Macaca fascicularis: one gene and its partner. The protein of the gene in region 1 interacts with the protein of each later gene in a pairwise test. Links are inferred from orthologs where the notes say so. Each region holds a gene or a part of one and is shown in the gene's direction. Other genes may lie near its edges. The genes, in order: TNNI3 and TNNC2.

The links.
Region 2: the proteins of TNNI3 (region 1) and TNNC2 interact in binary tests that used the Homo sapiens proteins (3 or more experiments, as listed by UniProt). The two-hybrid records come from large-scale screens. The link is inferred for Macaca fascicularis from reciprocal best matches to the Homo sapiens genes TNNI3 and TNNC2.

What each region holds. Positions count from the first base shown.
Region 1 is NC_088393.1:63,020,123-63,035,805, reverse strand, and holds TNNI3 (troponin I, cardiac muscle), read left to right. Parts: upstream 1-6,023; 5' UTR 6,024-6,161; coding exon 6,162-6,172; intron 6,173-6,446; coding exon 6,447-6,459; intron 6,460-6,621; coding exon 6,622-6,705; intron 6,706-7,110; coding exon 7,111-7,152; intron 7,153-7,423; coding exon 7,424-7,555; intron 7,556-8,004; coding exon 8,005-8,094; intron 8,095-8,634; coding exon 8,635-8,811; intron 8,812-10,953; coding exon 10,954-11,037; 3' UTR 11,038-11,104; downstream 11,105-15,683. Other genes in the region: DNAAF3 (dynein axonemal assembly factor 3), read left to right, coding at 1,682-1,807, 1,913-2,035, 2,651-2,786, 3,597-3,708, 4,475-4,549, 4,633-5,020. UniProt on the Homo sapiens protein: Troponin I is the inhibitory subunit of troponin, the thin filament regulatory complex which confers calcium-sensitivity to striated muscle actomyosin ATPase activity.
Region 2 is NC_088384.1:101,851,885-101,867,745, reverse strand, and holds TNNC2 (troponin C, skeletal muscle), read left to right. Parts: upstream 1-5,372; 5' UTR 5,373-5,436; coding exon 5,437-5,439; intron 5,440-7,840; coding exon 7,841-7,892; intron 7,893-8,028; coding exon 8,029-8,172; intron 8,173-8,260; coding exon 8,261-8,375; intron 8,376-8,538; coding exon 8,539-8,675; intron 8,676-9,281; coding exon 9,282-9,313; 3' UTR 9,314-9,447; downstream 9,448-15,861. UniProt on the Homo sapiens protein: Troponin is the central regulatory protein of striated muscle contraction. Tn consists of three components: Tn-I which is the inhibitor of actomyosin ATPase, Tn-T which contains the binding site for tropomyosin and Tn-C.

The sequences.
Region 1 (15,683 bases):
AGGGTCTGGGGTCTGGACTCCCGGGTCTGAGGGAGGAGGGGCTGGGGTCTGGACTCCTGGGTCTGAGGGAGGAGGGGCTGGGGGCCTGGACTCCTGGGTCTGAGGGAGGAGGGACTGGGATCTGGACTCCCGGGTCTGAGGGAGGAGGGGCTGGGGGCCTGGACTCCTGGGTCTGAGGGAGGAGACACTGGGGGTCTGGACACCTGGGTCTGAGGGAGGAGGGTCTGGGGTCTGGACTCCCGGGTCTGAGGGAGGAGGGGCTGGGGGCCTGGACTCCTGGGTCTGAGGGAGGAGGGACTGGGATCTGGACTCCCGGGTCTGAGGGAGGAGGGGCTGGGGGCCTGGACTCCTGGGTCTGAGGGAGGAGGGGCTGGGGACCTGGACTGCTGGGTCTGAGGCAGGAGGGGCTGGGGGCCTGGACTCCCGGGTCTGAGGGAGGAGGGTTTGGGGGTCTGGACTCCTGGGTCTGAGGGAGGAGGGGCTGGGGGTCTGGACTCCTGGTTCTGAGGGAGGAGGGCCTGGGGGCCTGGACGCCCGGGTCTGAGGGAGGAGGGGCTGGGGGCCTGGACGCCTGGGTCTGAGGGAGGAGGGGCTGGGGGTCTGGACACCTGGGTCTGAGGGAGGAGGGTCTGGGGTCTGGACTCCCGGGTCTGAGGGAGGAGGGGCTGGGGTCTGGACTCCTGGGTCTGAGGGAGGAGACACTGGGAGCCTGGACTCCTGGGTCTGAGGGAGGAGGGACTGGGATCTGGACTCCCGGGTCTGAGGGAGGAGGGGCTGGGGGCCTGGACTCCTGGGTCTGAGGGAGGAGACACTGGGGGTCTGGACACCTGGGTCTGAGGGAGGAGGGTCTGGGGTCTGGACTCCCGGGTCTGAGGGAGGAGGGGCTGGGGGCCTGGACTCCTGGGTCTGAGGGAGGAGGGACTGGGATCTGGACTCCCGGGTCTGAGGGAGGAGGGGCTGGGGGCCTGGACTCCCGGGTCTGAGGGAGGAGGGGCTGGGGGTCTGGACTCCTGGGTCTGAGGGAGGAGGGGCTGGGGGCCTGGACGCCCGGGTCTGAGGGAGGAGGGGCTGGGGGCCTGGACGCCCGGGTCTGAGGGAGGAGGGGCTGGGGGTCTGGACACCTGGGTCTGAGGGAGGAGGGTCTGGGGTCTGGACTCCCGGGTCTGAGGGAGGAGGGGCTGGGGTCTGGACTCCTGGGTCTGAGGGAGGAGACACTGGGGGCCTGGACTCCTGGGTCTGAGGGAGGAGGGACTGGGATCTGGACTCCCGGGTCTGAGGGAGGAGGGGCTGGGGGTCTGGACTCCTGGGTCTGAGGGAGGAGGGTCTGGGGTCTGGACACCTGGGTCTGAGGGAGGAGGGGCTGGGGGTCTGGACTCCCGGGTCTGAGGGAGGAGGGCCTGGGGGGTCTGGACTCCCGGGTCTGAGGGAGGAGGGCCTGGGGGGTCTGGACTCCCGGGTCTGAGGGAGGAGGGTCTGGGGTCTGGACTCCCGGGTCTGAGGGAGGAGGGCCTGGGGGGTCTGGACTCCCGGGTCTGAGGGAGGAGGGGCTGGGGGCCTGGACTCCCAGGTCTGAGGGAGGAGGGGCTGGGGGTCTGGACTCCCGGGTCTGAGGGAGGATGGTGTAGGGGTCCCTCCATGGTGGGTTCATTGAGGGGTCCCTTCTTCCTGCCCCCCACCCCAGGCCCAAGTCATTCACACCCAGGAGTTCCGACGCTGGCGGGACACAGGCGTCGCCTTTGAACTCAGGGACTCCAGCGCCTATCACGTGCCCAACCGGACCCTGGCGTCGGGTCGCCTCCTGAGCTACGTGCGTGTCCACTGCCTGTCCTGGCCCACTGCTGCTTCTCGGAGACCCAGGAGTCAGGGTCCCCAGCCTCGACCTCACCCGCCTCCTCTCTCCCTCCTTTTCCAGCGCGGGGAGCGCGTGGCAGCGCGCGGGTACTGGGGGGACATCGCCACAGGGCCCTTCGTGGCCTTCGGCATCGAAGCCGACGACGAGAGCCTTCTGCGGACCAGCAACGGACAGCCGGTCAAGGTGCGCGGCGAGGCTGGGACTGGGGGTGGGAGTGGGGCTGGGGGTGGGGGTGGGGCTGGGGGTGGGGGTGGGGGTGGGGGTGGGGCTGGGGGTGGGAGTGGGGCTGGGGGTGGGGTGGGGCTGGGGTTGGGAGTGGGGCTGGGGGTGGGGCTGGGGGTGGGGGTGGGGCTGGGGGTGGGAGTGGGGCTGGGGGTGGGAGTGGGGCTGGGGGTGGGAGTGGGGCTGGGGGTGGGGCTGGGGGTGGGGGTGGGGCTGGGGGTGGGAGTGGGGCTGGGGGTGGGAGTGGGGCTGGGGGTGGGGCTGGGGTGGGTGTGGGGCTGGGGGTGGGAGTGGGGCTGGGGGTAGGGCTGGGGTGGGGGTGGGGCTGGGGGTGGGTGGGTGCGCAAGACCCCGCCTCCACCGCAGGCCCCGCCCCAGCTCCAGACCCAACCCGTCGCTGGGCGGGGACGACTCCATTCAGGGAACAGGCCCCATCCCCGCGGGATAGGTCCCGCCCCACTTCACATCCTCCAAGCAGCTGCGGGAGTTCTAGTCCTGGACCGAGGACTCCCCGCGTTCTAAGCCCCGCCCCGCCATCCCGGCCCCGACGTCTGGCCACGCCCCTTCTACCCCTAGACGGCCGGGGAGATCACGCAACACAACGTGACAGAGCTGCTCCGCGAGGTGGCCGCCTGGGGGCGCGCGAGAGCCAGCCGGGGGGACCCGGAGGAGCAGCAGCGCTCGGAGGCAAGCCCGGAGCCAGGGACTCCAGGTAAGTCCCAGGTAGGCCAGGACTCCAGGTAAGCCAGGGACTCCAGGTAAGCCACGGATAACAACAGGTAAGCCAGGACTCCAGGTAAGTCCCAGGTAGGCCAGGGACAACAGGTAAGCCAGGGATAACAGGTAAGCCAGGGATAACAACAGGTAAGCCAGGACTCCAGGTAAGTCCCGGGTAGGCCAGGGACAACAGGTAAGCCAGGGACTCCAGCCTCCAGCTGTTTCACACTGGAGTGTGGACTGACATGATTTGGAATGCCTGGGCAAGTGACGGCTTCTTGATATTCTGTTTTTTCCTCTCTTCTCTTTCTCTCCCTTTCCTAAATTTTGAGAGCATGCTTAGGATTCTGAATTCCACTAGTAGAATTCAATCTTATCTGCAAAGGGCTAAGCTATCCAAGAATATTCTCACAGGGTGCTGGGTCCCAGCCCTCCCTTGGACACCATCCTGCACCCCGGATCCGCGCTGGGCCTCCTTCCAGCCATCCTCCAACCTGGCCCTCCCTGAGTGTCTGTCCGACAGGGCATGTCACATGTGGCCCTGGCCACCCACCCTCTTTCCCTCTCTAGTCTCAGTTGCCTGATCTGTACAGTGAGCCTCTGCCTGCTGGGCTGATCTTCCCAGAATTTTCCAGGAATCCACCTCAGAGGAAAGATTTTTTTAAAAGCTTCAAGAGGACAAAAAGTGTTATCTCCAAGTCCTGTGTGCCTGCCCAGCTCTGCCCAGCTCTATATATCTCTCTGGCTTTCTGCCCTCATGGCTCTGCCCGTCAGAGGTGACCCCTCTATCCCCTTCCTCCGGCAGCCTCCACTCCGGAACCATTCACTGTCCACTTCCTGCCACTCAATTCTGCTGAGACTCTCCACCACAAGAGCTGCTACAATGGCCGGTTCCAGCTCCTCTATGTGGCCTGTGGGTAAGCAGGAGGCGTCTGTGCTCACAAAGACCCAGGATCAGGCCCCCAGCCCCTCCTCCCTCAGACCCTGGAACCCAAGCCCCAGGCCCTCCTCCCTCAGATCCAGGAGTCCAGGCACCCAACCCCTCCTTCCTCAGACCCAGGAGTCCAGGCCCCCAGCCCCTCCTCCCTCAGACCCAGGAACCCAAGCCCCAGCCCCTCCTCTCTCAGACCCAGGAGTCCAGGCCCCTAGCCCCTCCTCCCTCATACTCTGGAACCCAAGCCCCTCCTCCCTCAGACCCAGGAGTCCAGGCCCCTAGCCCCTCCTCCCTCAGACTCTGGAACCCAAGCCCCTCCTCCCTCAGACCCAGGCGTCCGGGTGCCCCAACCCCTCCTCCTTCAGACCCAGGAGTCCAGCCCCTCCTTCCTCAGACCCAGGAGTCCAGCCCCAGCCCCTCCTCCCTCAGACCCAGGAGTCCAGGCCCCCAGTCCCTCCTCCCTCAGACCCGGGAGTCCAGGCCCCAGCCCCTCCTCCCTCAGACCCAGGAGTCCAGGCCCCCAGCCCCTCCTCCCTCAGACCCAGGAGTCCAGACCCAGCCCCTCCTCCCTCAGACCCAGGAGTCCAGACCCAGCCCCTCCTCCCTGGTCCCTGAGTCCAGACCTCCTGCTCCCTTCTTTCCCAGGACCCAGACTCCAGTGTTGCAGCCCCTCCTCCCTCAGTGTCTGGGTTCCCAGAGCCCCCTCCTCCCTCAGCTGAGTCTCGGCTTGTCCTCGGTCCTCACTGCAGGGTGGTCCATCTTCTCAGCCCCGAGCTTGGGGCCTGTGTGGCACCTGGAGGGAACCTGATTGTGGAATTAGCCCGGTGAGCCAGTGGGGTGGAGGGCGGGGAACATCCCGGCTGGGGATCAAAATCTGGGTCCCTGACATGGCGCTTCCCATCTGCAGGTACCTGGTGGACGTGCGGCAGGAGCAGCTGCAGGGATTCAACACCCAGGTCGGGGAGCGAGCTCAGGCAGCGGGATTTGCTCCACAGACCGGGGCCAGGCCCTCAGAGACCTTCGCACGTTTCTGCAAGTCCCAGGACTCGGCTCTGGGCAGCACTGACCCAGCTGTGGAACCCGGAACTCCGTCCCTTGACGTCGTGGCCCAGCCTCTTGAAGCCAGCAGCCCAGCCCCTGAGGGCCTGACCCAGCCTCCGGAGGGCGGGACCCCACACTGGGAGCCCTGCCAGCTGCCCTCTGAGTCTCCAGGTTCACTCTCAGAGGTTCTGGCTCAGCCCCAAGGGGCTTTGGCTCTGTCCAACTGTGAGTCAGACTCCAACACTGGAGTCTGACCCAACCCCTAGATACCCCTTATCTCCAACTTCCAAAGTCAGGTTGTAGGATGAGAACCCGCTGATACCATCCTAAGCCGGCTGCTAGAGTCCCCAATTTTATTCTAATCATTCCCACTCAGTACCCGCCACCCCCACCCTGGGAGTGTTGATAGAATTTCAAATTCTATTTCTGAGATTCTATTTCTAGAATTCTAGATTGTTCTCTCAGAATTCCAAATTCCACTTCTGAGGCCCTGAACCCAGTCTAGGATCGGACCCTGAGTCTCAAGCCCTTGACTTTGGCCCCCTTGTTCCCAGGCACCCTGGGCTGGCTGGGGGCTGGGGTGTCTCCTCACCAGGGCCTGGTCAGCACCCAGATGGTTCAAGTAAAGCAAGTTATGTCCACCTCTCTGTGTGTCCAAGTGTCTTTCCTGTCCTATGTCCGTCTCCAGGGCTGGGAGAGAAAGACCCAGGAGTGGTGGACAGAGGAAGCCAGAAACCAGATTCCTGGGTTTCCGGGACTTGACCAGTGGGTCTAGGGAGGACAGGACTGGGGTCTGGACTGCTGGGTCTGAGGGAGGAGGGGCTGGGGGCCTGGACTCCTGGGTCTGAGGGAGGAGGGGCTGGGGGTCTGGACTCCTGGGTCTGAGGGAGGAGGGGCTGGGGACCTGGACTCCTGGGTCTGAGGGAGGAGGGGCTGGGGATCTGGACTCCTGGGTCTGAGGGAAGAGGGGGCTGGGGGCCTGGACTCCTTGTCTCAGGGAGTGGCTGGGGTCTCCCAGGGTCCTAGGACTGAGGAAGGAGGGGGCTGGGAGGTTGGGCATTCTGTGGGTCTGAGGGAGGAGGGGTCTAGGACTCCAGGATCAGAGGGAGGAGGGTCCGGAGTCCTGTGCCCCGAGGTGGCTGGTGATCCAGCTGGAGCAGGGCCCACCCCACCCCTCACGTGCCCCGTTATCTCGCATGGTGGGCAGGGGAGGAGGAGGTGACAGTATATTTAGTCTCTGTCCTCGCCCTTTATCTCAGTGTCCTCGGGGAGTCTCAAGCAGCCGGGAGGAGACTGACGGTCCCTGGGACCCTGAAGGTCACCCAGGCGGTCCCCTCACTGACCCTCCAAACGCCCCTGTCCTCACCTCCTGCCATTCCCGGCCTGAGTCTCAGCATGGCGGATAAGTGAGTGATGCCCCAAGGCAGTGGGAGTTGGGGGCGACCTCTCAGGTTCCCAAGAGGGGTCAGAGCTGAGAGGCTGGACCCCTGGCCTGTGAGGTAGGGGTAGGGGCTCTTGGTTGAAGAAAGGAAGCGGGTTTGCGAGTCAGACTCCTGGAACCAGAGGAAGGGGAAGCGGTGTCCCCCGACCTCTTGGTCAGAGGGGCTTCCGGGGGTCCCTTAGGAGACAGACAGGACACAGCCCACCACTAACCCCCATCCCCGGTTTCTCTCCTTCCAGGAGCAGCGATGCGGTGAGAGCAGCAGGCTAAGGCGTGGCTGGGACCCCCAGGGCCAGGGTGGGCGCTGCAGTGAGGGGTCTGGGGCGGGAGGCTGCAGCCCTAGCAGAGGGTGCGGTACGGAAAGGGCTGGGTGGGGTCTTGGTGGTGATGGGGTCCCCACTCCTCCAAACCCAGGCTGGGGAACCTCGCCCTGCACCAGCCCCAATCAGACGCCGCTCCTCCAACTACCGCGCTTACGCCACGGAGCCACACGCCAAGGTGGGAAGGGGCTTCCTGGGGGCCGAGTACAGGCGCTGGAAGGACCCGAGACCCTGAGAGTGGGGGGAGGAGCCAAGGCTACGAAGGGGGCGGGGACTACGCGGAGAGGCTTCAGGGGCGGAGTTTTGCAAAGGGTCACACTCGGATTGGTGACAGCCGCCTGTGGGCGTAGTTCCGTTGCCCTTGGATTTCCTTAGGGATAGATGGGAAGTGCCTATCCAAAGCCAGAGACCCGGATTGGTGGATGGGAATGAGGGGCGTGGCCTGTCATAGACTCAGGGCGCAAGTTGGAAGTGGGCCCAAATCTGGACCGGCTGGGGTTGCTGGGGGTGCCTTGAGGTCCCCTCCACCGTCGTCTCCGGATCCCCCTCCATGATGCTTCCTTGCTCCATCTCACCCTGGCAGAAAAAATCTAAGATCTCCGCCTCGAGAAAATTGCAGCTGAAGGTGAGCACGGGAGGTACAGGGAAGGAGCAGGCACGTGCTCAGGGGGCGGAGCTTGAGAGTGGGTGGGGCTTTCGGGGTAGGTGGGCGGGAGTGGGCGGGGGTTTGGCCGCTCGGGGCGTGGCTTTATCGGGGAGTCCTGCTCCGGGTGGGGCGGGGCCTTGGAAAGGTGGAGACGAAACTCGAGGGTTTAGAAGGGCAGACGGGGTTCCCTACGCCTGGTCTTTTTCCTGATGCCCCGGGTGGGCTACGCTTCCCTCCCACCCCTCCGCAGACCCTGCTGCTGCAGATTGCAAAGCAGGAGCTGGAGCGAGAGGCGGAGGAGCGGCGCGGAGAGAAGGGGCGCGCTCTGAGCACGCGCTGCCAGCCGCTGGAGTTGGCTGGGCTGGGCTTCGCGGAGCTGCAGGTACCAGCTCCCAAGGCAGGTACTCCTGCCCAGCCTGGGATCCGAGGTTTCTAGTCCCCGGAATTCAGCAGAACAGCCTCTGTCCCCTCTTCTGCTCGGGACCCAGGCGTCCAATATGTCTGTCCTTACCCAATTCTATATGGTTCGTGGGACTCCCGGCCCCTAACACCCTTTGTGTGCAGGTCTCTGGAGTCTTGGCTCCAACCTTCTCCTTCAGGATCATGTGGCCCTCCTATCCCAGACAGGGTCCAGGCCCCAGCCCCTCCTCCCTCAGAGCCGGATGTTCAGGCCTCAGCCCCTCCTCCCTCAGACCCAGGAGTCCAGGCCCCAGCCCCTCCTCCCTCAGACCCAGGAGTCCAGGCCCCAGCCCCTCCTCCCTCAGACCCAGGGGTTCAGGTCTCCAGGCCTCCAGGCTTCCCCCAAAAACACACACCACGTTCCTCCTCCAGGACTTGTGCCGACAGCTCCATGCCCGTGTGGACAAGGTGGATGAAGAGAGATATGACATACAGGCAAAAGTCACCAAGAACATCACAGAGGTGGGACGCATGGGCAGCTTGGGTACCTTCGGGGTAGTGAGATACCTGGTATTTGGTCTCTGCCTGACCCCTTGCAGCTGCTTTTGGCTGCACATCCCAGGATACCCAGGACAACTGTGAGCCTGGCAGGGCTGGGGCAGAAGGATGAGTACAATATAGTCAAGGAAAGCTGTTGTAGGCAGAGGGAACAGCACATGGAAGGCCATGGGTTGGGAAACAGAAAATATGTTAGTGAACATGTTCAGGGCATCACATGTTGGTAAATTAGCTCAGGCATTGGCCAGGGAATTGTGATTTGTATGTAGCTGGACCAGGTTATGCCAGTGGTTTTGTGAGGTGAGGCTGGAGCGTATGAAGAGGGGGATTCAGTTCCAGGATTAGAAGCTTAGACTGGGAGCCTAAGCTGAGAAGAGACTGGATGAGGCCTCGGTACTGGAAGACGAGATAAGGAGAATAAAAAAGGAGTGTAGGGTGGAAGAGTTGGGTGAGGGGGAAATGGAGGCAGGAGTATCCACACCCCTGTATACTGCCTCCCCCCAGATCGCAGATCTGACCCAGAAGATCTTTGACCTTCGGGGCAAGTTTAAGCGGCCCACCCTGCGGAGAGTGAGGATCTCTGCAGATGCCATGATGCAGGCGCTGCTGGGGGCCCGGGCTAAGGAGTCCCTGGACCTGCGGGCACACCTCAAGCAGGTGAAGAAGGAGGACACCGAGAAGGTGAGTGTGGGCTAAGGCCAGGAAAGAGAATGCTGAGGGGAAGGGCTGTGGGTACCAACAACCCTGGGGCCTAGCTGGAGGGCAGACGGTGCTTGAAGTTGGGGGTAGAAGCAGCTAGCTAGTACGGGGTCCTCCAAAATGCAAGAGGAAGACGGGAAGTGCATTAGGGCTACAGGAAGTCCATGTAAGAGCAAAGAGGTGCATGAAGGGCTGGGTGCAGGGGCTCATGCCTGTAATCTTTGAGATTAAAATTTTTTTTTTTAATTTCCTTTTTTTTTTTGAGATGGAGTCTCTGCTGCCCAGGCTGGAGTGCAATGACACCATCTCGGCTGCTGGAGTGCAGTGACGCCATCTCGGCTCACCGCAACCTCCGCCTCCCAGGATCAAGTGATTCTCATGCCTCAGCCTCCCAAGTAGCTGGGACTACAGGTGCACACCACCACGATATTGTTTTAATTTCTACAAATTTCTTTTTAAAATTGATTAGTCATGGTGGTGGCATGCAGCTTCTCAGGAGGCTGAGGCAGGAAGATCGCTTGAGCCCATGAGATCGAGGGTGCAGTGAGCTATGACTGTACCACTGCACTCCAGCCTGGGCAACACAGTAAGACCCTATCTTAAAGAAGAAGACAGGAAAGACAGGAGTGGATGCCTGAAACCATGGATTGTACTGAACCCTATATATAATTTTTTTCCTATACAAACCTACGTACCTATGATAAAGTTTCATTTCTAAATTAGACACAGTAAGAGATTAACAATAAATAATAATAAAAGAAGGCTGGGCATGGTGGCTCATGCCTGTAATCTCAACACTTTGGGATGCTAAGGCGGGCAGATTGCTTGAGCTCTGGAGTTCGAGACCAGCCTGGGAAACATGGCGAGACCCCGTCTCTACAAAAAATACAAAAGTTGCCAGGTGTGGTGACTCACACCTGTAATCTCAGCGCTTTGGGAGGCCAAGGCAGGTGGATCATAAGGTCAGGAGTTTGAGACCAGCCTGGCCAACACAGTCAAACCCCATCTCTAGTAAAAATACAAAGATTCGCTGGGTGTGGTGGTGGATGCCTGTAATCCCAGCTACTTGGGAGGCTGAGGCAGGAGAATTGCTTGAACCTGGGAGGCAGAGGTTGCAGTGAGCTGAGATCTCACCACTGCACTCCAGCCCTGGCAACCGTGGGAGACTCCATCTCAAAAAAAAAAAGTTAGCTGGGCATGATGGCACACACCTGTAGTCCCAGCTACTCAGGAGTCTGAGGTGAGAGGATAGCTTGAGCGCAGGAAGTTGAGGCTGCAGTGAGTCGAGATTGCACTCCAACTTGGGTGAGGGAACCAGACCCTGTCTCAAATAATAATAATAATAATAGTAAAATAGAACAATTATAACATATTGTAATAAAACTCATATGAATTGGTCTCTTTCTCAAAATATCCTATGGCCCTGTAGTCACCCTTCTTTTCCTTGTGATGTGAAATGACAGTGCCTATGTGCTGAGATGAAGTGAGGTGGATGACATAGGCATTGTGACCTAGCATTAGGCTAGGTCCTATGAGAATCCATCAAACTTATGAATTATTTCTGGAATTTTCCATTTAATATTTTTGGGCCATGGTTTACTGAAACCACACAAAGTAAAATTGCAGATAAGGATGAACTACTACAATAAGAAGGAAGGAGACAGGAAGTGCATAAGGCAGACAGAAAGTGTAGGGGAAAGATAGGAAGTGCAGGAAGGAGACAGGAAGTGGATAAGGAAAGACAGAAAGTACATGAGGGAGACAGGAAGTGCATGGGGAAAGACAGGAAATGCATGAGAAAAGACAGGAAGTGCTGGGGAAAGACAGGAAGTGCATGGGGGACAGGAAGTGCATGGGGGCACAGGAAGTACATGGGGAAAGACAGGAAGTGCTGGGGAAAGACAGGAAGTGCATGAGGGGGACAGGAAGTGCATGAGGGAGACAGGAAGTTATGGGGAAAATTGGCAGGGATTATCTTGAAAAGATGGGAAGTGCTCCAGAACTAGACACTTAGACAGGCATCCAGGGTAGAGTGGCCCCACAGGCTGGAGGGAAGACAGGGATTCTTGAGAGACTGGAGACCAGGAAGAGACCCTAATCTCTGACTCTATCGCCATCCTCCAGGAAAACCGGGAGGTGGGAGACTGGCGCAAGAACATCGATGCACTGAGTGGAATGGAGGGCCGCAAGAAAAAGTTTGAGGGCTGAGTCTTCCTACCTACTGCCCCCGCCCTGAGGAGGGCCCTGAGGAATAAAGCTTCTCTCTGAGCTGAAAGTGACTCCATGTCTATTACCCAGGGCTTAGGCAGGAGAGAGATGGGAAAACTGAGGGCAGGGCTCCCCCAAAGTCACACAGCAGGTCGGGGACCAGATGGATCTCCCATGTGGAGCACTCTTGGCTCTGTTATCAAAAAGAATTCCAGGGTTCATGAATTTGGAGAGGGGAGCTTTGTTTCTTAAGAAGCAGATCACAACCTGCAAACTGGAAGCGTGGCTTCTTGCCAAAAAACAGAAGCAGGCACTTTAAGGGAGGGAAGGGCAAGGCAGGAATTTACGCTGAGTGGGTTGGCTACGTGCACGTATTCAACTGGTTATAGAAGGAGCTATGAATATTCATGGACAGGTGGACACACACATGTGTGACAAGCAAACATGCATTTTTTTTTTTTTTTGAAATGGAGTCTTGCTCTGTCACCCAGGCTGGAGTGCAGTGGCACAATGTCAGCTCACTGCAACCGCCACCTCCTGGGTTCAAGCCATTCTCCTGCCTCAACCTCTCCAGTAGCTGGGATTACAGGCATGCACCACCAGGCCCAGCTAATTTTTGTATTTTTAGTAGAGACGGGGTTTCACCATGTTGACCAGGCTGGTCTCGAACTCCTGACCTCGTGATTCACCAGCCTCGGCCTCCTAAAGTGCTGGGATTACAGGCGTGAGCCATTGTGACTGACGACAAATATGCATTTTACATGGTGGTGGAGGCTTAATATTTAAGTGCATCCCATTGAATGCATTCGTATGGAAACATGAAGCAGGCATATGAAGGCACCCAGTGCACAGCCTCTGTCAAAAGTCAGAACCAGTCTGTGGTCCGTGGTATCTTATCAGGAGAAAGTTACTGAAATCAGTCTCTCATTCAACTAATGCTGTAGCTATGCGTTGTGGAACAGGGGGTTCAGTTAGTCAGCATCTGGCAATGGATGGCTGCAATTGTTGTAATATTGCATATCTTGAGGCCAGTGTTTGTTTAGCTGCTAGAAAAAGGAAAAGCCTTGTGGCAATTAGAACATAGTTTATTATATAAGTGTAGGGATGCGTGACTTAACCCTTGCCTGGCATGGCCTCAGGTCTTGTTTATAATTTGGTATCTTATTGCCACAAACAGTTCATTCCATCAGTCTTCTGATCTCTATTGTCACAGCACCTCTGGCCCATGTGGAGTGCACAGAGATGCCAAGATTAAAGCTCAAAGAGAGAGACACACAGAGAAACAGATAGGCAGAGAGACATACTGGCAACAGAGGGACTGAGTTGGGAGTAGAGAGAGAAGGAGCCAGACAAAGACCCAAAGAGAGAGGGAGAAAATACCATGGATGCATAGAAGGAAGTGCAAAGAAAGGAGAAAAGAGAGACAGAGGTATAATCACAGCAAGGTGCGGAGACGTGGAGACCCTATAAGAGAGGGAAATGGAGAGCCACAGAGCGGGAACTGCGGGCACTAAGACATGGAGAGAACTAGAAAGACAGAGACGTGAACATGGACACAGAGACCCAGAGCCAAAAAGAGACAGAAATGGGGTCACAGGTGGACAGAAATGCACAGAGAAACTGTGAGCCTCCACGGACACAAACGCTGAGAGGGGCAGACATGCAGAGACACCCACAGAAATGCAGAGACAAAACCACCTAGAGACACATGCCAAGAAACACACTGAGGGACCCAGAAAGAGACAGATGCAGAGAGAGCCCAAGACAGACCCCAGCAAGAGGCCCCAGGAAAAGCACAGAAACACAGAGACGGACCACGAGAGGCAGAGGTACTGAGAGGTACTGAGAGGTACTGAGAGGCGGGGAGGGGAGGAGGCCTGCTCTCCAGGGCCGGCTTGAACCCAGAACTCAAGGTCATGGCTTGGCTAGGAAGCGCGAGGGGGACACCAAAAAGATCAGTGTTAGATGAAGGTGGGGAGGGAGGGGAGGTTTCACCCTAATTGACACCCCCTCTCCCTCCCTCTCCCCACACCTGCTTCCCGGCTTTAGTGCCTGTTGTCACCAGGATGGAATCCTGGTGGCAGACAAAAGGGTGGGGGTGGGGAGGGGGAGACAGAAAGATGGACAGAGACAGAGGGGGAGACTAAGAAGTGGAGACAGACACACAGAGATACACAGATGGAGAGCCACAGACACAACAGAAACGGGGGTCCAGAAAGAGACCATGGTAGAAAGAGGGAACGGAGAGAAGAAAACAGAAAACATTCCTTATAGCCCATTTGTCATTAGTAGGTCCTCCAAGGACCTACTGTGGGCCGGGCGTGGGGACGTCAAAGCACAGGGAGCTGTAAGGGAGGTAGCTGCAGCACCATGAGACCTGGGGGTGGGGTGGGGGCGGGAGCGGGGCTCCTGGGCCGTGCAGATGGGGTTAGCATGGGGTTGGGGAGGGGCCCGCGGAGGCTTTTGGACTCTGAGTGTGGAGCCAGGGGCAGCGGGGCTGTCTCTGAGCTCCCAGACTTGTGTTTGAGCAATGGAATTCTCTCCCCCTCCCTCTCCCTTCGGGGCGGGGCCAAGCCTCCCAGGGCCAGCTATAAACTCCCGGTAGCTTCAGTGCCCTCAGCAAGGCTCAGCCACGAGCTTCCCAGCATCTCAGACACAGCCTAGGTAAGGGGCTCTGTGGGGCCCTGTGGTCTCCAAAGACTGTGTCCTTGCGGGAGGGGGCAGGAGGTGGGTGGGGAAGATGTGGGGTGTGGAGAAATGGTGCAGAGGTAGGTGGGGCAGACAACTGGAAGTCTGGGAACTTGAGAGGCTCAGACTTCAGGGGGACTCAGGATAGAGGGGAAAATACTGGGATTTGTGGGTCACACAGATCCGAACCCGGGGCTGCCAGGACTTGGGTGTCCCAGAACAAAACCTCCTAGGATCTTGGGGTTCTGGGAATCTGGGGGAAATCTCAGCAGTCAGGGATATCTGGACTTGGAGGTCAAACAGTCTGGGTGTCAGGATTTGGGGCCTCAGACTCTGAGGGTATCAGGAATTGGGGGTGGGTCTCACAATCTGGGGTTTTAGGAGTGGAGGCCTCGGAATCTGAGGTATTATGATAGAAAGCACGAGAACTTGGACTGTCATTATCTGGGTATCATGAATTGGGCCTCCGAGGTTAGGTATCAAGATTTTGGGGGTCTCATATTCTTGAGGTTTCAGAATTTAGGTCCCAAGACCTGGGGGTGGTCTTAAGATGTCCCGGCCCATATCTGGACTATCAAGAACAGCTGTGAGGACTCGCTGGTCTCAGAAACATGGGCATCACAGATTGGGGTCTCAGAATCTGTGGGTATTGGGATTTGGGGCTAGGCACCCCGTGGCCTAGGGAATCTCAAAGACTTTGAGGTCCAAGAATATAGGGGTCCGGGTGAGGTCTGTGGACAGAAGGTGCCCTTTATGCTCCTGCCCCCTGCATGATGTATGGGAAGGTGAAAGGGGAGACAGGTGGGGAGGAAGCCAGCCAGCGGGGAGGGGTGAGTGGGAGAGGGGATGAGGGTGACTAATTCTCCCAGAAGCCCCCCTTCCTCAAATCCCTTCTTAGGAAATGTCCTCTGTCTCACCATCTATGACATCCCCCCGAAATAGCTCCTGGGTGTGGGGCAGCTATTGTCTTCAGGCCACTGTCCCTTCTCAAATGCCTCCTCCTAATCCCAGCTGGATCAGGTTCCCATGGACTTGTCATAAGACAAAAGAGGACAGCTGTGTGGAGGGGGCAGGGTCTGCAGCCTCCTGGCTGTGCCAGGACCACATCTACCAAGGTCTGTCCTCATGCGTGCTTTAGGACAGCCAGCCCCCTCCCTCGGACCCAGGAGTCCAGACCTGAGCCCTCCTCCCTCAGACGCAGGAGTCCAGGTCCCCAGCCCCTCCTCCCTCAGACCCAGGAGTCCAGACTCCCAGCCCCTCCTCCCTCAGACCCAGGAGTCGAGACCCCCAGCCCCTCCTCCCTCAGACCCAGGAGTCGAGACCCCCAGCCCCTCCTCCCTCAGACCCAGGAGTCCAGACTCCCAGTCCCTCCTCCCTCAGACCCAGGAGTCCAGACTCCCAGCCCCTCCTCCCTCAGACCCAGGAGTCCAGACTCCCAGTCCCTCCTCCCTCAGACCCAGGAGTCCAGACTCCCAGTCCCTCCTCCCTCAGACCCAGGAGTCCAGACTCCCAGTCCCTCCTCCCTTAGATCCAGGAATCCAGGCCCCAGCTCCTCCTCCCTCAGACCCAGGATTCCAGACCCCAGCCCCTGCTCCCTCAGACCCAGGAGTCCAGCCCCTGGCCTCTCCTCCCTCAGACTCAGGAGTCCAGACCCCCAGCCCTTCCTCCTTCAGGCCCAGGTGTCCAGCCCCTGGCCCCTCCTCCCTCAGAACCAGGAGTCCAAGCCTCCATCCCCTCCTCCCTCAGACCCAGGTGTCCAGGCCCCAGCTCCTCCTGCCTCAGACCCACGAGTCCAGACCCAGGAGTCCAGACCCAGGAGTCCAGGCCCCAGCTCCTCCTCCCTCAGACCCAGGAGTCCAGAACCAGGAGTCCAGGCCCCCAGCTCCTCCTCCCTCAGACCCGGGAGTCCAGACTCAGGAATCCAGGCCCCCAGCTCCTCCTCCCTCAGACCCCGGAGT
Region 2 (15,861 bases), on another chromosome or scaffold:
GCTGGGATTACAGGAGTGAGCCACCGCACACGGCGAGGGGCTGGGATGGATTTTAAGCCTAAGTTTGTGCAATTTTATTTATTTATTTATTTATTTTTTAGGGAGGGAGACAGAGTCTTGCTCTGTCGCCCAGGCCGGAGTACAGTGATGCGGTCTCGGCTCACTGTAACCTCTGCCTCCCAGGTTCAAGCAATTCTCCTGCCTCAGCCTCCTGAGTAGCTGGGACTACAAGCATGCGCCACCATGCCTGGCTCATTTTTGTATTTTTAGTAGAGATGGGGTTTCACCATATTGGCTAGGCTAGTCTCGAACACCTGGCCTCAAGTGATCCGCCCGCCTCTGCCTCCCAAAGTGCTGGGATTACAGGCATGAGCCACTGTGCTTGGCCAGTTTGCACAATTTCAAACCTCGAATTACTCTTCATTCGGCTTATGGGCAAGATATTGGGACAAAAAAGACATACTTCATTTATTAATTCAACACTCAATCATTCACCAACCATTGGTTAAAAAATAACTTGTCCTTTGGTATATGCCTTACATGTCTGGGCACAAAGCTGGTCTTCATGAAACCATGGGTTGTTAAAGCAGCAGGGCCCCTCAGAAATCTGGCCTATCACCTCCGTTTTACAGATAGGTAGCCTGAGGCTTAGTGAGGGGAAAGGCTTATGCTAGGTCATACAAACAGTCAGAACTAGCAGATCTCAAGGTTGCGCATTCTCCACTATTATTATTTCTTCTTCTTTTTGCTTCCTTCTTCCTCTTTCTGCTTCTTTCTTCTTCCTTTTTATTTTTATGTATTTATTTTTTTTTTGAGACAGAGTCTCACTCTGTCACCCAGGCTGGAGTACAGTGGCACACTCTTGGCTCACTGCAACTTCCATCTCCTGGGTTCAAGTGATTTTCCTGCCTTAGCCTCCTGAGTAGCTGGAATTACAGGTGTGTGCCACCACACCCAGCTAATTTTTGTATATTTAGTAGAGATGGGGTTTCACCATTTTGGCCAGGCTAGTCTCGAACTCCTGACCTCAAATGATCCGCCTGCCTCAGCCTCCCAAAGTGCTGGGATTACAGACATGAGCCACCGCACCTGGCCTCTTTCAGAGACAGAGTCTCACTCTGTTGTGAGGCTGGAGTGCAGTGGTGCGATCATAGCTCACTGCAGCCTCAAACTCCTGGGCTCAAGTGATTCTCCCACCTCAGCCTCCCAAGCATCTGGGACTACAGATATGTGCCACCATGCCTGGCTAATATTTTATTTTTTGTAAAGGTGGGGTTGCATGTTGCCAAGACTGATCTTGAACTCCTGGCCTGAAGAGATCCTCCTACCTCTGCCTCCCAAAGTGCTGGGATTACAAGCATGAGCCACCATCCACCATTCTTTGTTTTATTTTAATTTTTTTATTGGAAGCAGGCTGGTATGTTGCCATGTTGCCCAGGCTGGTATCGAACTCCTGGGCTCAAGAGATCCACCTGCCTCAGCCTCCCAAAGTGCTAGGATTAAAAGTGTGAGCCACTGTCCCCATTTTTTTTTTTTTTTTTTTGAGACGGAGTCTTGCTCTGTTGCCCAGGCTGGAGTACAGTGGCCGGATCTCAGCTCACTGCAAGCTCTGCCTCCCAGGTTCAGGCCATTCTCCTGCCTCAGCCTCCTGAGTAGCTGGGACTACAGGCGCCCGCCGCCTCACCCGGCTAGTTTTTTGTATTTTTTTTTTTAGTAGAGACGGGGTTTCACCGTTTTAGCCAGGATGGTCTCGATCTCCTGACCTCGTGATCCACCCGTCTCGGCCTCCCAAAGTGCTGGGACTACAGGCTTGAGCCACCGCGCCCGGCCCACTGTCCCCATTTTTAAACTCTGTATGGATCTCTCCTTACAGCCTCCCTGAGAAATGGTCATCTATCTCCTGCTTGGGTATATTCAGTGACAGGGAGCTCATTACCTCCTGAGGCTGCCTGTTCTCATTATTGTTCAACTATGACTATTAGGAAGTTCCCCCTTATATTGAACTAAATACCATCCAGTTCGGTTATTCTTATGTAGAATATAATATCTGTTGAACTCCTGCTACGTGGCAAATGCTAAGCACTGGGAAATGTGATGATCTGTAGAACATAGAATGGGTTGTGATCATAAGGCGTGCTCAGTGCTGTGATTGAGGAAACTACTGGAGATCACCTTGGACTCCCTGGCCTGGACATAGCGGGAGGAAGCATCCCCAAGGAAGTGATGTTAGAGCTGAGAAAGATGATAGGGGAAGTAGACAGATGAAGAGAGGAAAGATGGGAGTTTCTGGCAGAAAAAAAAACAGCATGTGCAAAGGCCTGAAGGTTCATAAAAGGTGGTGTTTAGAGCAGTCTTTTTTTTTTTTTTTTTTTTTTTTTTTTTTGAGATGCAGTCTCCCTCTGTCACCCAGGCTGGAGTGCAGTGGCATGACTGCAGTGGCTCACTGCAACCTTCACCTGCTGAGTTCAAGTGATTCTTCTGCCTCAGCCTCCTGAGTAGCTGGGACTACAGGTGCCCACCACCACGCCTGGCAGCAATTTTTTGTATTTTTAGTACAGACAGGGTTTCACCATGCTGGCCAGGATGGTCTCAAACTCCTGACCTCGTGATCCGCCAGCCTCGACCTCCCAAAATGCTGGGATTACAGGCATGAGCCACCGCGCCCAGCCTAGAGCAGTATTTTAAAGTCTGATCAGAGCAGACAGCAACACGATGTGGAGGGGAGGAGGAAGGAGATTAGAAGTGCCAGTGGGACCCTGCTTGGCCACATAAGCAATTTGGGACTTATCTATTCCCCTGAATAAACAAGAGAACAAAAGCCGGGCTCGGTGACTCACACCTGTAATCCCAGCACTTTAGGAGGCTGAGGTCAGGAGTTCGAGACCAGTCTGGCCAACATGATGAAACCTTTTTTTTTTTTTTTTGAGACGGAGTCTTGCTCTGTTGCCCAGGCTGGTGTGCAGTGGCTCAATCTCGGCTCACTGCAAGTTCCGCCTCCCGGGTTCATGCCATTCTCCTGCCTCAGCCTCCCGAGTAGCTGGGACTACAGGCGCCCACCACCATGCCCAGCTAATTTTTTGTATTTTTAGTAGAGACGGGGTTTCCCCATTTTAGCCAGGATGGTCTCGATCTCCTGACCTCGTGATCCACCCGCCTCGGCCTCCCAAAGTGGTGGAATTACAGGTGTGAGCCACCACGCCTGGCCGATGAAACCTTGTCTCTATGAAAAATACAAAAATTGGCCAAGTGTGGTGGCTCACACCTGTAATCCCAGTACTTTGGGAGGCCGAGGTGGGCGGATCACCTGAGGTCAGGAGTTTGAGACCAGCTTGACCAACATGGAGAAACCCTGTCTCTATTAAAAATACAAAATTAGCTGGGCATGGTGTCTCATGCCTGTAATTCCAGCTACTCGGGAGGCTGAGGCAGGAGAATCGCTTGAACCCAGGAGGCGGAGGTTGTGGTGAGCCGAGATCGCACCATTGCACTCCAGCCTGGGCAACAAAATCAAAACTCCGTCTCAAAAAAAAAAAAAAAAAATTAGCTGGGCATGGTGGCTCATGCCTGTAATTCCAGCTATTTGGGAGGCTGAGGCAGGAGAATCACTTGAACCCAGGAGGCGGAGGTTGCAGTGAGCTGAGATGGCGCCACTGCACTCCAGCCTGGGTGACAGAGTGAGAGTCTGTCTCAAAAGAAAAAAAAAAACCAAAAACTAAATTGGAATCCCATGGGTCTCAGGCTTTGGCACTCTGCCTGCCTGGGGGAGGCCTTATTTAGCTTGGCCCAGCCCTGCCGAGCTCTCCTTGGGAATGTCTATATATAGGGGAAGGGGGCAGCCCAGTTGTCACTGTCCATCTGCATTCCTTGGTGTCCAGCCCCCATTTCCTGGCCCCAGAGCCTGCTATCGGTTGTCTTGGTGCTCTTTCTGTCGACGTAGTCACTGTCCACAAGTCTTGCCTACTCCCCAGTGCCCAGCCTTTACCTTGTGGATTCTCAGGGTGGGTTCCCTCTGGACTTGCTTTGCCCACCCCTTTACTCCCCAGATGACCAGATGTCTTCACTGAGCTCTAGGAAGGGGCCAGCTACCCCTTTACCACTTAAATAACCTTCCCTTGCCTACTCCTTACCCCAAAAAAGTGAATCCAAACACCCTTTCCATGGAGAAGGTAACTTTGAGAGAAGGATCTTTGCTTTCAATGATTATTTCTCCTCCAAATGCACATCCTCCTCTCCTCCATCCCTCCATACATTTTTCCATCTAGACAGGTCCCCCAAGGACTGTCTGTCCCAACTTCCTTCCAGTCGGGATTAATAATAAGAATCATCAACATGGGTGGGCATGGTGCCTCATGCCTGTAATTCTAGTACTTTGGGAGGCCAAGGATTCAAGGATGCCTTGAGCCTAGGAGTTCGAGACCAGCCTGGGCAACATGGTGAAACCCCATCTCTACAAAAAATACAAAAAAGGAAAACAAAAAAAGCCAGGGGTGGTGGCGCACTGCTAGTCCCAGCTACTCGGGAGGCTGAGGTGGGAGGATCACTTGAGCCCAGGAGATCGAGGCTGCAGTGAGCTATAATAGTACCACTGCACATCAGCCTTGGTGACAGAGTGAGTATAGACCTTTATGATTTACAAATCTCTGCAGTCAAATGGAGATAATAATAGTTGCTATCTCATAGGAGGAGCACTAGATGAGATCATGTTAAAATGCTTAGCACAGTGTGTGGCACATTGTGGGGGTTCAGTAAACAGTGGCCTAGCTGTCACTTTCCCCTCCTTCTATCCCCTGCCCCTTACCATGGTTCAAAGACAGGACATTCCTCTTGCCAAGCATCAACGCTGTGTACCCGGCACAAGCTAGGTGACTTATACCTGGGTTCCCATTTACCATGTTCTCTCTGTGAGGGAGACCCCACAGAGAGGTCCATTCCCACAGATGAAGAAATGACTCAGAGAGGCACTGCTACCTGCCCAAGGTCACACAGCTCGCAGAGGCTGGCCTTGGATCTTGGGTTTTGGACTTCAAGGCTTGTACTCTCCCCATTTTACCATGCTGCCTCACTCTTTACTACTCTGATAGTCCTTACCATCTTGGAGCTAGTGTGCTTCCTTGGTCGGGGGGACTCCAAGGCGGTGGAACAGGGCGGGACTTCCTCACAAGAATCTAGGACGTCAAGGCCTGCCACCTGCTTGGAGGCTTAAATTTCTCTGCAAGGGCCCTTGGCTAAATTAGGTAATGGGTTCAGACTGTGGGAGGGGTGGGGCTCGCCGACCCCAGGATCTGATTGGGCAGGGTCTCCAGTGCTGGGGAGCAGGGAGGTGGGAGGGGAGGGTGCCCCTACAAATCCCGGGGGCTAGAGCAGGCCAGGGCATCTTTGGGTGGCGGAGTGCAAAGGAGGCGACCTGCAGCAGAGGAGTCCTGGTCACCAGCAACCATGGTAAGGACAAGAGGGAACTTTGTGCCTTTACTTGCGGGAGCACTCTGGACCTCTTTCAGGCCAGACCTGAGTGCTTTGTGGGGCAGTAACTGGGATGTTTGAGGTTGGAGCATGGAGGTTCCTGGAACCCAGGTGTCTTAAAGGAAGGCCTTTGACTTTTCTTGAAAGGGGAGGGCTGGGATATTCCAGAGATTGATCCTCAAGGCTTGCTGACTGCCTACTCACCTTCGGAAACTTCCAGCAGTGTCATTCATAGACCTGTGAGGAGCTCTTAGCTTGTTTCCTTCACACAGTGGGGACTCTGAGGGGTCAGAGTGAGTCACCCAGCAGGCCAGTGGCAGGGGTGAGCCAGAAGCCTGGCAAACCCTCCTATCATCATGGAGAGAAGAAAGCCTCGTCCAGAAGACAGGAGGTGGGCAGGGTGTGGGGCCTGCTCAGATGCAGGGCTCTGGGAGCCCTGAGGATGATGGGAAGGGGCAGAAGATGACAGACCAGAGTTAGAGAGACTCTGCTCTCCTAGAGAGGGGTTCTGATTTGGAGCTGTTGTTTTCGTCTGAGATCCCCCTGCCCACTTCACTTCAAGGAGTAACTAGATCCCGGAGGCCAGCTGCTGTTGCCCATGCCTGACTAAAAATAGCCTGCCCTCCTGGCACAGGGAAAGAGGAGGAGAGGAAGGAGGGGGAGAAGGAGGAGGGCCGGCAGCCAGCCGGCTGAAGAGCTCCTTGGAAGCCTCACCCCGTCCTCACTGCCAGCCTCAATCCAAAGCCTCTGGCCCAGATGGCCTGGCTTGGGTATGACCTGGAAACCCCCGCAGATATCTCGCTTTCAGGTCAAGGCCTCCATCACATTCGGCCCAACATGAGGGGCCTTTTCTCCAATGACTGAATCCTAAGAAGGAAGCTTACAGTCTCCGACTCTGCCAGTTCTCTGAGGGGCGGGATGATGTGTCCTCTGTCTCTTCTTGGTGGTCCCAGTGCCTGATCTGCGGCCTGACGTGCAGCAAGTACTCAATAACTTTGTGTTGCATTATTATTTATTTGAGAACAAACATTTTATTGAGCAACAATTAAAGTACTGGGCACCACTAGGAGCTACAGAAAACTGGAAAATAGTGCTGGAATGGTGCTAGCCTTTACAAAACCCTTTCACACCGCTGATATCTCATCCCTGAAAAGCTACAGAGAAAAGATGAATGCATGCTAAGTGACTTGCCTAAGGTCACTGGGGGGTTCCTGACTTGGCCTTCAATTGACAAGTGAGAAGGCCTTGGGCTTAATTTGTTGTCTCCTCTCTTTTTCTCAAAACTGGGGTCACAGGCCACATGTGGTGGCTCACGCCTGTAATCCCATCACTTTGGGAAGCCGAGGCGGGCAGATCACTTAAGGTCGGGAGTTCAAGACCAGCCTGACCAACATAGAGAAACCTCATCTCTACTAAAAATACAAAATTAGCTGGGCATTGTGGTGCATGCCTGTAATCCCAGCTACTCGGGAGGCTGAGGGAGAAGAATCGCTTGAACCTGGGAGGCGGGGGTTGCAGTTGTGGTGAACTGAGATTGTGCCATTGCACTGCAGCCTGGGCAACAAGAGCAAAACTCTGTCTCAAAAACAAAACAAAACAAACAAAAAAACTGGGGTCAGGCCAGCCATGGTGGCTCACGCCTGTAATCCCAACACTTTGGGAAGCCAAGGTGGGTGGATCACCTGAAGTCAGGAGTTCAAGACCAACCTGGCCAACATGGTGAAACCCCGTCTCTACTAAAAATACAAAAATTAGCCGGGCGTGTTGGCGCATGCCTGTAATCCCAGCTACTTGGGAGGCTGAGGGAGGAGAATCGCTTGAACCCAGGAGGTGGAGGTTGCAGTAAGCCGAGATCACGCCATTGTACTCCAGCCTGGGCGACAGGGTGAGACTCTGTCACAAAAACAAAAAACAAAAACAAAAACTGGGGTCAGAAGCTGGGCACAGTAACTCAAGCCTGTAGTCCTAGCAATTTGGGAGGCTGTGGTGAGAGGATCACTCGAGCCCAGAAGTTCAAAACAAGCCTGTGTAATATAGTGGGACTCTGTCTCTACAAAAACTTAAAAAATAGTCAGGCATGGTGTGCACTATAGTCCCAGCTACTCAGGAGGCTGAGGTGGGACGACTGCTTGAGCCTAGGAGGTTGAGGCTGCAGTGAGCTATGATCACACTACTGCACTCCAGCCTGTGTGACAGAGCAAGGCAAAACAAAACTGTGATTGGGTGCTGTGCGGGCACACAATTATGTGGCAAGTTTGAAGTTGTTCTTTTGGAGGACCAAGAAGCGCTGAGAGAGTGAGGGTTGGGAAGAATGGGGTTCAGGTGTGCAACTGCCCTGGGGCTGCCTCTTCAGCTCAGACTTTCTCTGTGTCTCCTGCAGACGGACCAGCAGGCTGAGGCCAGGTCCTACCTCAGCGAGGAGATGATCGCTGGTGAGTGAGGCGCAGCAGGCTGGGGGCTGGGTGGATGTATGCTGGGGACATGTTGGCCTCTGGGCAGGGTTGGGGGGGTAGATGTGAGGCTGACAGTCCAGCTGGCCTCACCTCTGCCCTCTGCCCTCCCGTGCAGAGTTCAAGGCTGCCTTTGACATGTTTGATGCTGATGGTGGTGGGGACATCAGCGTCAAGGAGTTGGGCACGGTGATGAGGATGCTGGGCCAGACACCCACCAAGGAGGAGCTGGACGCCATCATCGAGGAGGTGGATGAGGACGGTGAGTGGGTGTCCCTCAGAGGCAGGGGATGGTGGGGAAAGGCGGCAGTGGCTAGGCTCAGGCTCAGTCCACCACCTGCTCCCCGCAGGCAGCGGCACCATCGACTTCGAGGAGTTCTTGGTCATGATGGTGCGCCAGATGAAAGAGGACGCGAAGGGGAAGAGCGAGGAGGAGCTGGCCGAGTGCTTCCGCATCTTCGACAGGTGCGCTGGGGGCCTGGGAGCCGAGGGAGGGGCTGAGCAGTCAAAGCCTGCCGGCAGCGCTGGAGGGTTCCCCGGGTTGGGGGTGCGGAAGCAGGGCGTCGAGTGTGGTGGCCAGGGCAGCTCGCCCTGGCCCTAAGCTCTGCCCTGACCCTTGGACCTGAAGGAATGCAGATGGCTACATCGACCCGGAGGAGCTGGCTGAGATTTTCAGGGCCTCTGGGGAGCACGTGACGGACGAGGAGATCGAATCTCTGATGAAAGACGGAGACAAGAACAATGACGGCCGCATTGACTTCGACGGTGAGGGAGGGCCACGGGAGCTTGGGAAGAGTGGGTGGGAGCCACAGGGGACGGCGAGCACTGGTGCCTGGCTCCCGTGCAGTGTCTTTGGCCTTGTGGGCTGGGCTGGGCATAACTTCAAAAGTTCCCCTAGTCTCCTGGGGGCGGGTATAGAAGCACCCACGACTCTGTGCAGTTTATCAATTAATGACCAGGCAGTGGGGGCGTGGTGGCTCAGGACTGTAAAATCCTGGAACTTTGGGAGGATGAAGCGGGAGGATTGCTTGAGGCCAGGAGTTCGAGACCATCCTGGGCAACATAGTGAGACCCTGTCTTTACAACAAATAAAATAAAAAGGCGGGCGTGGTGGTATGTGCCTGTGGTCACAGTTGCTCCAGGGGCTTAGGTGGGAGGATTGCTTGAGCCCAGGAGATTGAGGCTGCAATGAGCTATGATTGTGCCAATGCACTCTAGCCTGGGCAACAGACCTTGGCGACCTTGGCGACCTAGCGAGACTGTGTCTCAACAAAAACAAAAAAAAGTCATCCCCTCTGTGTGGCTGGAGCCCTGGCCTGGCCTCTGCGTCCCCAGTGGGACCCCTGACCCTCTCCCTCTCCTTTCCCACAGAGTTCCTGAAGATGATGGAGGGCGTGCAGTAAGGAGTGGTCAGTCGCCTCCACCAAGATCACGTGTCCCTAGGGTGTGGGAGACTCCGCCCTGCCGGGTCCCCACCAGGGAGGCACGGCCCCTTGTGGGTCTTTGTCTGCAAGGAATAAAAGCAAATGTTCCAAAACTCGTGGCCTGAATGGGGGGAAAGCTGGGAACAGTGGGTCTCAAAGGTTGCGGTCCAGGGCGCCATCCCAGCTGGCACCACCTGGAGCACCCTCAGGGATCCCGGGAGAGGCTGTCGGAGCTGCGGGATGTGGGAGCAGCGAGATGCGGAAGGGAGCTGGGCCCTGGAGCCCGAGGCAGGCTCTGCGGGTTCACGGCTGGCTCCCGACAGCTGGCGCTAGGTGTGCGCAGCTTGACGGACGGGGCAGTGGTGGCTCCAGGAGGCTGCAGGGGCTTGGAGTTGAGTCAGGGTGAGCCGGCAGACTGCGGAGGGAGGGGTCCCGGGACTGCAGGTAGGGTGAGGGGGTGGGAGAGGCTAGAACCCTGGGGAGCTGGGAAGCTCCCTCACTTCCCCACCGTCCTTCTTTTCTGGAATGTTGGCATCTTAGATGTTGTCATAGCTGCCACCTTCTGCAGGCTCCCTAGCTGGGGAGAGGGGGAGTAGGTGCCCATCCATGCCAGGTAGCATTGTTTCTGCTTGACCTTTTACTTCCTCTTTTCTTCCAAGTGCTTAATCCTCGCTTTGTACTGGTGGTGGTAGGGGAGGGTGGAGGCACTCACTAAGGAGATTCTGATCTCATCATTTGACCCCAGATCTCTGCTTCCACCCGGTCTCAGCCAGTGCACTCTACAGAGGGCCATCAGCACCAGTGAGCTAAAGTATCTGACCTGGCCACTGCCCCATTGAAAGTAGTTCGGTGCTCCTCACTGCTTCTAGAATGAGATCCAAATTCCTTCCCTCCCTCCCTCTCTTTCTTTCCACAGCCACACTGGGCAATTTATTCCTGATAGGGACCTGGAGTACATTTTCAAGCCCTTGGTACTTTGCACATGTTGTTTGCCCTCCCTGGAATGCCCTTGTCTTTCTTATAAGCTGGCAGATTCTTCAACCTACAAGACCCAGCTCAGATACCATCTCTTCCCTTGAACCCTCCCCTCACTGGCTATTTGCTGCTGTAGTGATTTGTATATAACAGGTATCAGATCACAGCTAATTAAGTGTAGGGGGTAGTTTAGCTTTAGAGACAGAATGCCTGAGTGTGAGTGCTCACTGCCTGTGACAAACTAAACCACTCTGTGCCTCAGTTTTCTCACCTGTAAAATGGGGATAATGATAGTACACACAGGGTTGTGAGAAGTTAGTGTGTGCAAAGTGCTTATAGCAGTGCCTGGCACATAGCAAGCATTTTTTTTTTTTTTTCTTTTTAACAGAGTTTTGCTCTTGTCACCCAGGCTGGGGTGCAGTGGCACAATCTTGGTTCACTGCAACCTCCACCTCCTGGGTTCAAGCGACTGTCGTGCCTTAGCCTCTTGAATAGCTCGGATTACATGCGCCCACCACCATGCCTGGCTAATTTTTGTATTTTTAGTAGAGACCAGGTTTCGCCATGTTGGCCAGGCTGGTCTTGAGCTCCTGACCTCAGGTGATCTGCCTGCCTCAGCCTCCCAAAGTGCTGGGATTACAGACATGAGCCACCATGCCTGGCCTGCTTTTTTCGCCTCCTGGGTTCACGCCATTCTCCTGCCTCAGCCTCCCGAGTAACCAGGACTACAAGGCACCTGCCACCACGCCCGGCTAATTTTTTTTGTATTTTTAGTAGAGTCGAGGTTTCACCGTGTTAGCCAGGATGGTCTTGATCTCCTGACCTCGTGATCCACCCTCCTTGGCCTCCCAAAGTGCTGGGATTACAGGCTTGAGCCAACTCGCCCAGCCCTGTTTTGTTTTTTAAATGAGACGGGTCTCGCTCTGTTGCCCAGGCTGGAATACAGTAGGTGATCACAGCTCACTGCAGCCTTGACCTCCTGGGCTCAAGCGATCCTCCTGTCTCAGCCTCCCGAGTAGCTGGGACTACAAATGGGTGACCCCCCACTAGTTTTTGTTATTTTTAGTGGAGACGGAATCTCACTATGTTACCCAGGCTGGTCTCAAACTCCTGAGCTCAAAGAATCCTCTCACTTTGGCCTCCCAAAATGTTGGGGTTATAGGCATGAGCCACCAAGCCCAGCCTCTATTGTCACCTTGCTCATTGCTTTAGTTCTTTCTCTCCATCTGTCTTTTTCTCTTCTTCCTCTTTTGTCCTATTCATGTTTTTCTGTTTTTATTTACAGCCAGGATCAGTGCTGGGGTTTGGTAAACATTACTATTTACTGAGTGCCTACTGTATACTGTGCCTTATGGACATTGTCTCATTCACTCACATAACATCCCTAGAGGCAGATGTTGCTTTCTCCACTTTACAGTTGGAAAACTAAGGCCGAGGGAGGTGAAGTACACAGGCACCCAGATAATAACCTAGGTAGTATCGCCGTGCACTATGTGGTTTGCACAGGAGCAAGGCTCTTAACTCCGATGCCATCTACCTGTTATTGGTTCTACCTGAATATCTTTTTTTTTTTTTGAATTATATACATATTTTAAAATAGAGATGGAGGCCGGGTGCCATGGCTCACACCTGTAATCCCAGCACTTTGGGAGGCCGAGGCAGGCGGATCACTTGAGGTCAGGAGTTTGAGACCAGCCTGGCCAACATGAAAAAACCTCCTCTCTACTAAAAATATAAAAATTAGCCAGACACATGCCTGTAATCTTAGCTACTTGGGAGGCTGAGGCAGGAGAATTGCTGGAACCCAAGAGGTGGAGGTTGCGGTGAGCCAAGACTGCGCCACTACACTCCAGCCTGGGTGACAGAGTGAGATTCTGTCTTAAAAAATAACATAGGCCGGGCGTGGTGGCTCATGCCTGTAATCCCAGCACTTTGGGAGGCCAAAGCGGGTGGATCATCTGAGGTTGGGAGTTTGAGACCAGCCTGACCAACATGGAGAAACCCCGTCCCTACTAAAAATACAAAATTAGCCGGGCGTGGTAGCGCATGCCTGTAATTCCAGCTACTTGGGAGGCTGAGGCAGGAGAATCACTTGAACCCAGGAGCCAGAGGTTGCAGTGAACCGATATTGCACCATTGCACTCCAGCCTGGGCAACAAGAGTGAAACTCCATCTCAAAAAATACATAAAAACAAATCTGATCATGTCACTGCCCTGCTTAAGGCTTCGCCTCAAGATAAAGTCCAAGTTTTTTTTTTTTTAAGAAACTGAATCTCCCTGTCACACAGGCTGAAGTGCAGGGGCACAATCATAGCTCACTGAGGCCTTGAACTCCTAGGCGCAAGGGATCCTCCCCCAGCCCCTAGTTATTTTTTGTAGAGATGGGGTCTCACTTTGTTACCCAGGCTAGCCCAAGTATCTTAATATGGCCTTCCAGCCTATCATGACCTGATGTCTATGTGACTTCCCCATCCTTTACTCTTCTTTTTTTTTTTTTTTTTTGAGACAGAGTTTTGAGTTTTGTGTTTGTCAGCCAGGCTGGAGAGCAGTGGCGTGATCTCAGCTCACTGCAACCGCTGCCTCCCAAGTTCAAGCAGTTCTCCCACCTCAGCCTCCCAAGTAGTTGGGACTACAGGCGCCACATGCCCGGCTAATTTTTATGTTTTTAAGAGACGAGGTTTCACCATGTTGGCAAGGGTGGTCTTGAACTCCTGAGCTCAGCTAATCCGCCTGCCTTGGACTTGCAAAATGCTGGGATTATAAGCAAGAGCCACCACTCTCAGCTGTGTATTCCTCTCCTTACATACTCCTGAACTTGCTATCCAAGGAATGTGCATCTCCCTCAGGTCTCAATTCCCTTCTCCAAAAACCTTTCCTTGACCCTCCTATTCTATTGGGTGCTCCACCTATGAACTTTCCTGGCTATATGTGAGTTCAGCACCCAACCTTTATTGAGTGCTTACTATCTACCAGGCATTGTTCTAAGGTCCTTCCACTGTCTTATGAGGTAGGTGCTAGTATTTTCATTTTACCGAGAGGTTAAATGTAACTGTCTACATGTTTACGGGCAAATGGAGGCAGAGCCAGGATCCTGAAACAGTTCTGCTTACCTGGTCTGAGCCTTTTTTTCTTTTGGAGATGGAGTCTTGCTCTCGTTGCCGACTGGAGTGCAATGGGTGATTTGGCTCACAGCAATCTCCGCCTCCCAGCTTCAAGCGATTCTCCTGCCTCAGCCTCCTGAGTAGCTGGGATTACAGGCACTCGCCACCATGCCTGGCCGATTTTTTGTATTTTTAGTAGAAACAGGGTTTCATCATTTTGGCCAGGCTGGTCTCAAACTCCTGACCTCAGGTGATCCACCCACTGCAGCCTCCCAAAGTGCTGGGATTACAGGCATGAGCCACCATGACCAGACTGGTCTGAGCTCTTAATCACTGGGCTGTATGGCACTTATTCCCCAGTCCCCCAAGCAGAGGGCCTTTATCTTGCAGGAATTCAATAAAATGGGAATCATAATAATCAGAAATTCAAATACTTCCTGACCAGGCTTTTTTTTGTTGCAAGTGCCAGAAATCTAAATAAAACGGACTTAAACCAAAAAGGGATTTGTTGGTTCATTGAACTGGGATGGCAAAGCATGAACTGGAGGCCAGAGTCTCAGCTAATGTCGTCTCTCCAGCTCCCAGCTGTTGGTCTCTGCTTAGTTTTCTTCTGTCTGCAGCGGGGCTCCCCCAGCAGCTGAGACCGATTCCCTTCTCTTTCAGCAACCTCATTAGTAAAATAACTTTACTCTCTCTCAGTGATTAATTTCAGAGAACACCAATTGAATCTGAACTACAGTTTAGACCTGTGACTGGCCTAGGGCAGGCCATGTGACCATCTAGGGTACCAAACACCATGACCAAGGACCACATGGCAGACAAAAACACATCCACCACAGTTAGCATTTGAAACATTTCTTTCAGAGATAAGGTCTTACTCTGCTGCCTAGGCTGGAGTGCAGTGGTACAATCACAGCTTACTATAACCTTGAATTTCTGGCCCCAAGTGATCCTCCAATCTTGGCCTCCCAAGATCTTGAGATTGCTGATGTGAACCACCAAGCCCGGCCAGCATTTATTTTTCTTTTAAAATTTATTATTTGAGATGGGGGTCTCACTGTGTTGCCCAGGCTGGTCTTGAATTCTTAAGTTCAAGCAATCCTCCTGCCTCCGCCTCCCAAAGTGCTAGGATTACAGGCAGTGAGCCACCACACCCGGCCCTGGCCAGCATTTGTTGACTAATTTAGTGCCAGGCTCTGAGCTCTGGTTTTCTCCAGTATCCGCTAACCTAGTGATTTTCAACCCTGGGAGACCTTCAGAACCTGGAGGGCAGTTTGGGGTCAAGAATTAGCCTAACAAGTTCCAGGTGCTGCTGGTGCTGCTGGAAGGACCACATTCTAAGAACATTGCTCTAAATTTTGTTCTTAACTAGACCACAGCAATGACATCACTTGGAAACTATTTAGAAACCAAAATAAACAAACAGACTGGATCTTAGGCTCCACTTCACACCTACCGAAAATATTTTAATTTTACAAGATCCCAAGTGTATTTGTATGCATGTTAGATTAAGAAAAAACCCAAGAGGAGAGACCTAAGAGCACAACTGTAGACATGAAGGGACCTAACTTCCAATCCCAACCCCTCCCCGCTTCAGGCTTGCACAACCAACCCGCTGCTAACAGACCTGAAGGAGTTGGGTGCAAGGCTGGAGCACATCTGGGTGCTGCTTATCTACTTTGGAGATCTTCCTGAAGGGCTTTGCGGGGGGTGGGGAGAAGGGGCTATCACTTCAACCTACTCTTCCACCTGCCGACACTTGCGGGGACCCAGCTGGTCAGCAGGGGTTTCCTCCTAGGGGCTCAGAGGCTGGAGACTTCATCAGGCCAGGGAAACGAGGCAGCCCAAGGGGCTGGGGGCTTGCTGGGGGATATACAGCAGGAGGTGACTGTGCCCCCTTGGAGGTGGAGCTCCACAGGGGACTTGGGCTAGAGTCTGGAGACCAGAGCTCAGACCTGAGAGTCCTCCAAAGGAAGGGGCTTTTTCCTGGCTGTCTCCCCAGGCCCTGGACCTGCTTAGGGTGACCTGAGCATTCTTCAGGACAGAACATGGGGTGGCTGTGTGGTGGGATCCTCCCCAACACACACGCTTGTTCCTTCTACAGCTATAGGAGGTTTCAGCCTAAGGTCTGGCTCAGCCTCATCTGCAACACAGCTGAGGGAACTCCAACATTCAGTAACATTGCTGGTACACATCACCGACTCCATAGACAGGAAGTATCATTGTGACACTCATTTTATAGATGAAGAAACAGATGCAGAGTCATAAAATAAGGTACAAGGGAATAAATCCTTGTCATCTCACTGCTTGGCCCCACATCCTTAAGTTCCACCTCTGCCTACCCTGAGTACCTCCAACCCTAGTGTAACTACAAGGCAACGACTTGTCTAAAAAAGGACCAAAATGCATTTATTTAATATACATCACAAGGGCTCAACCGAGGCTTAATTT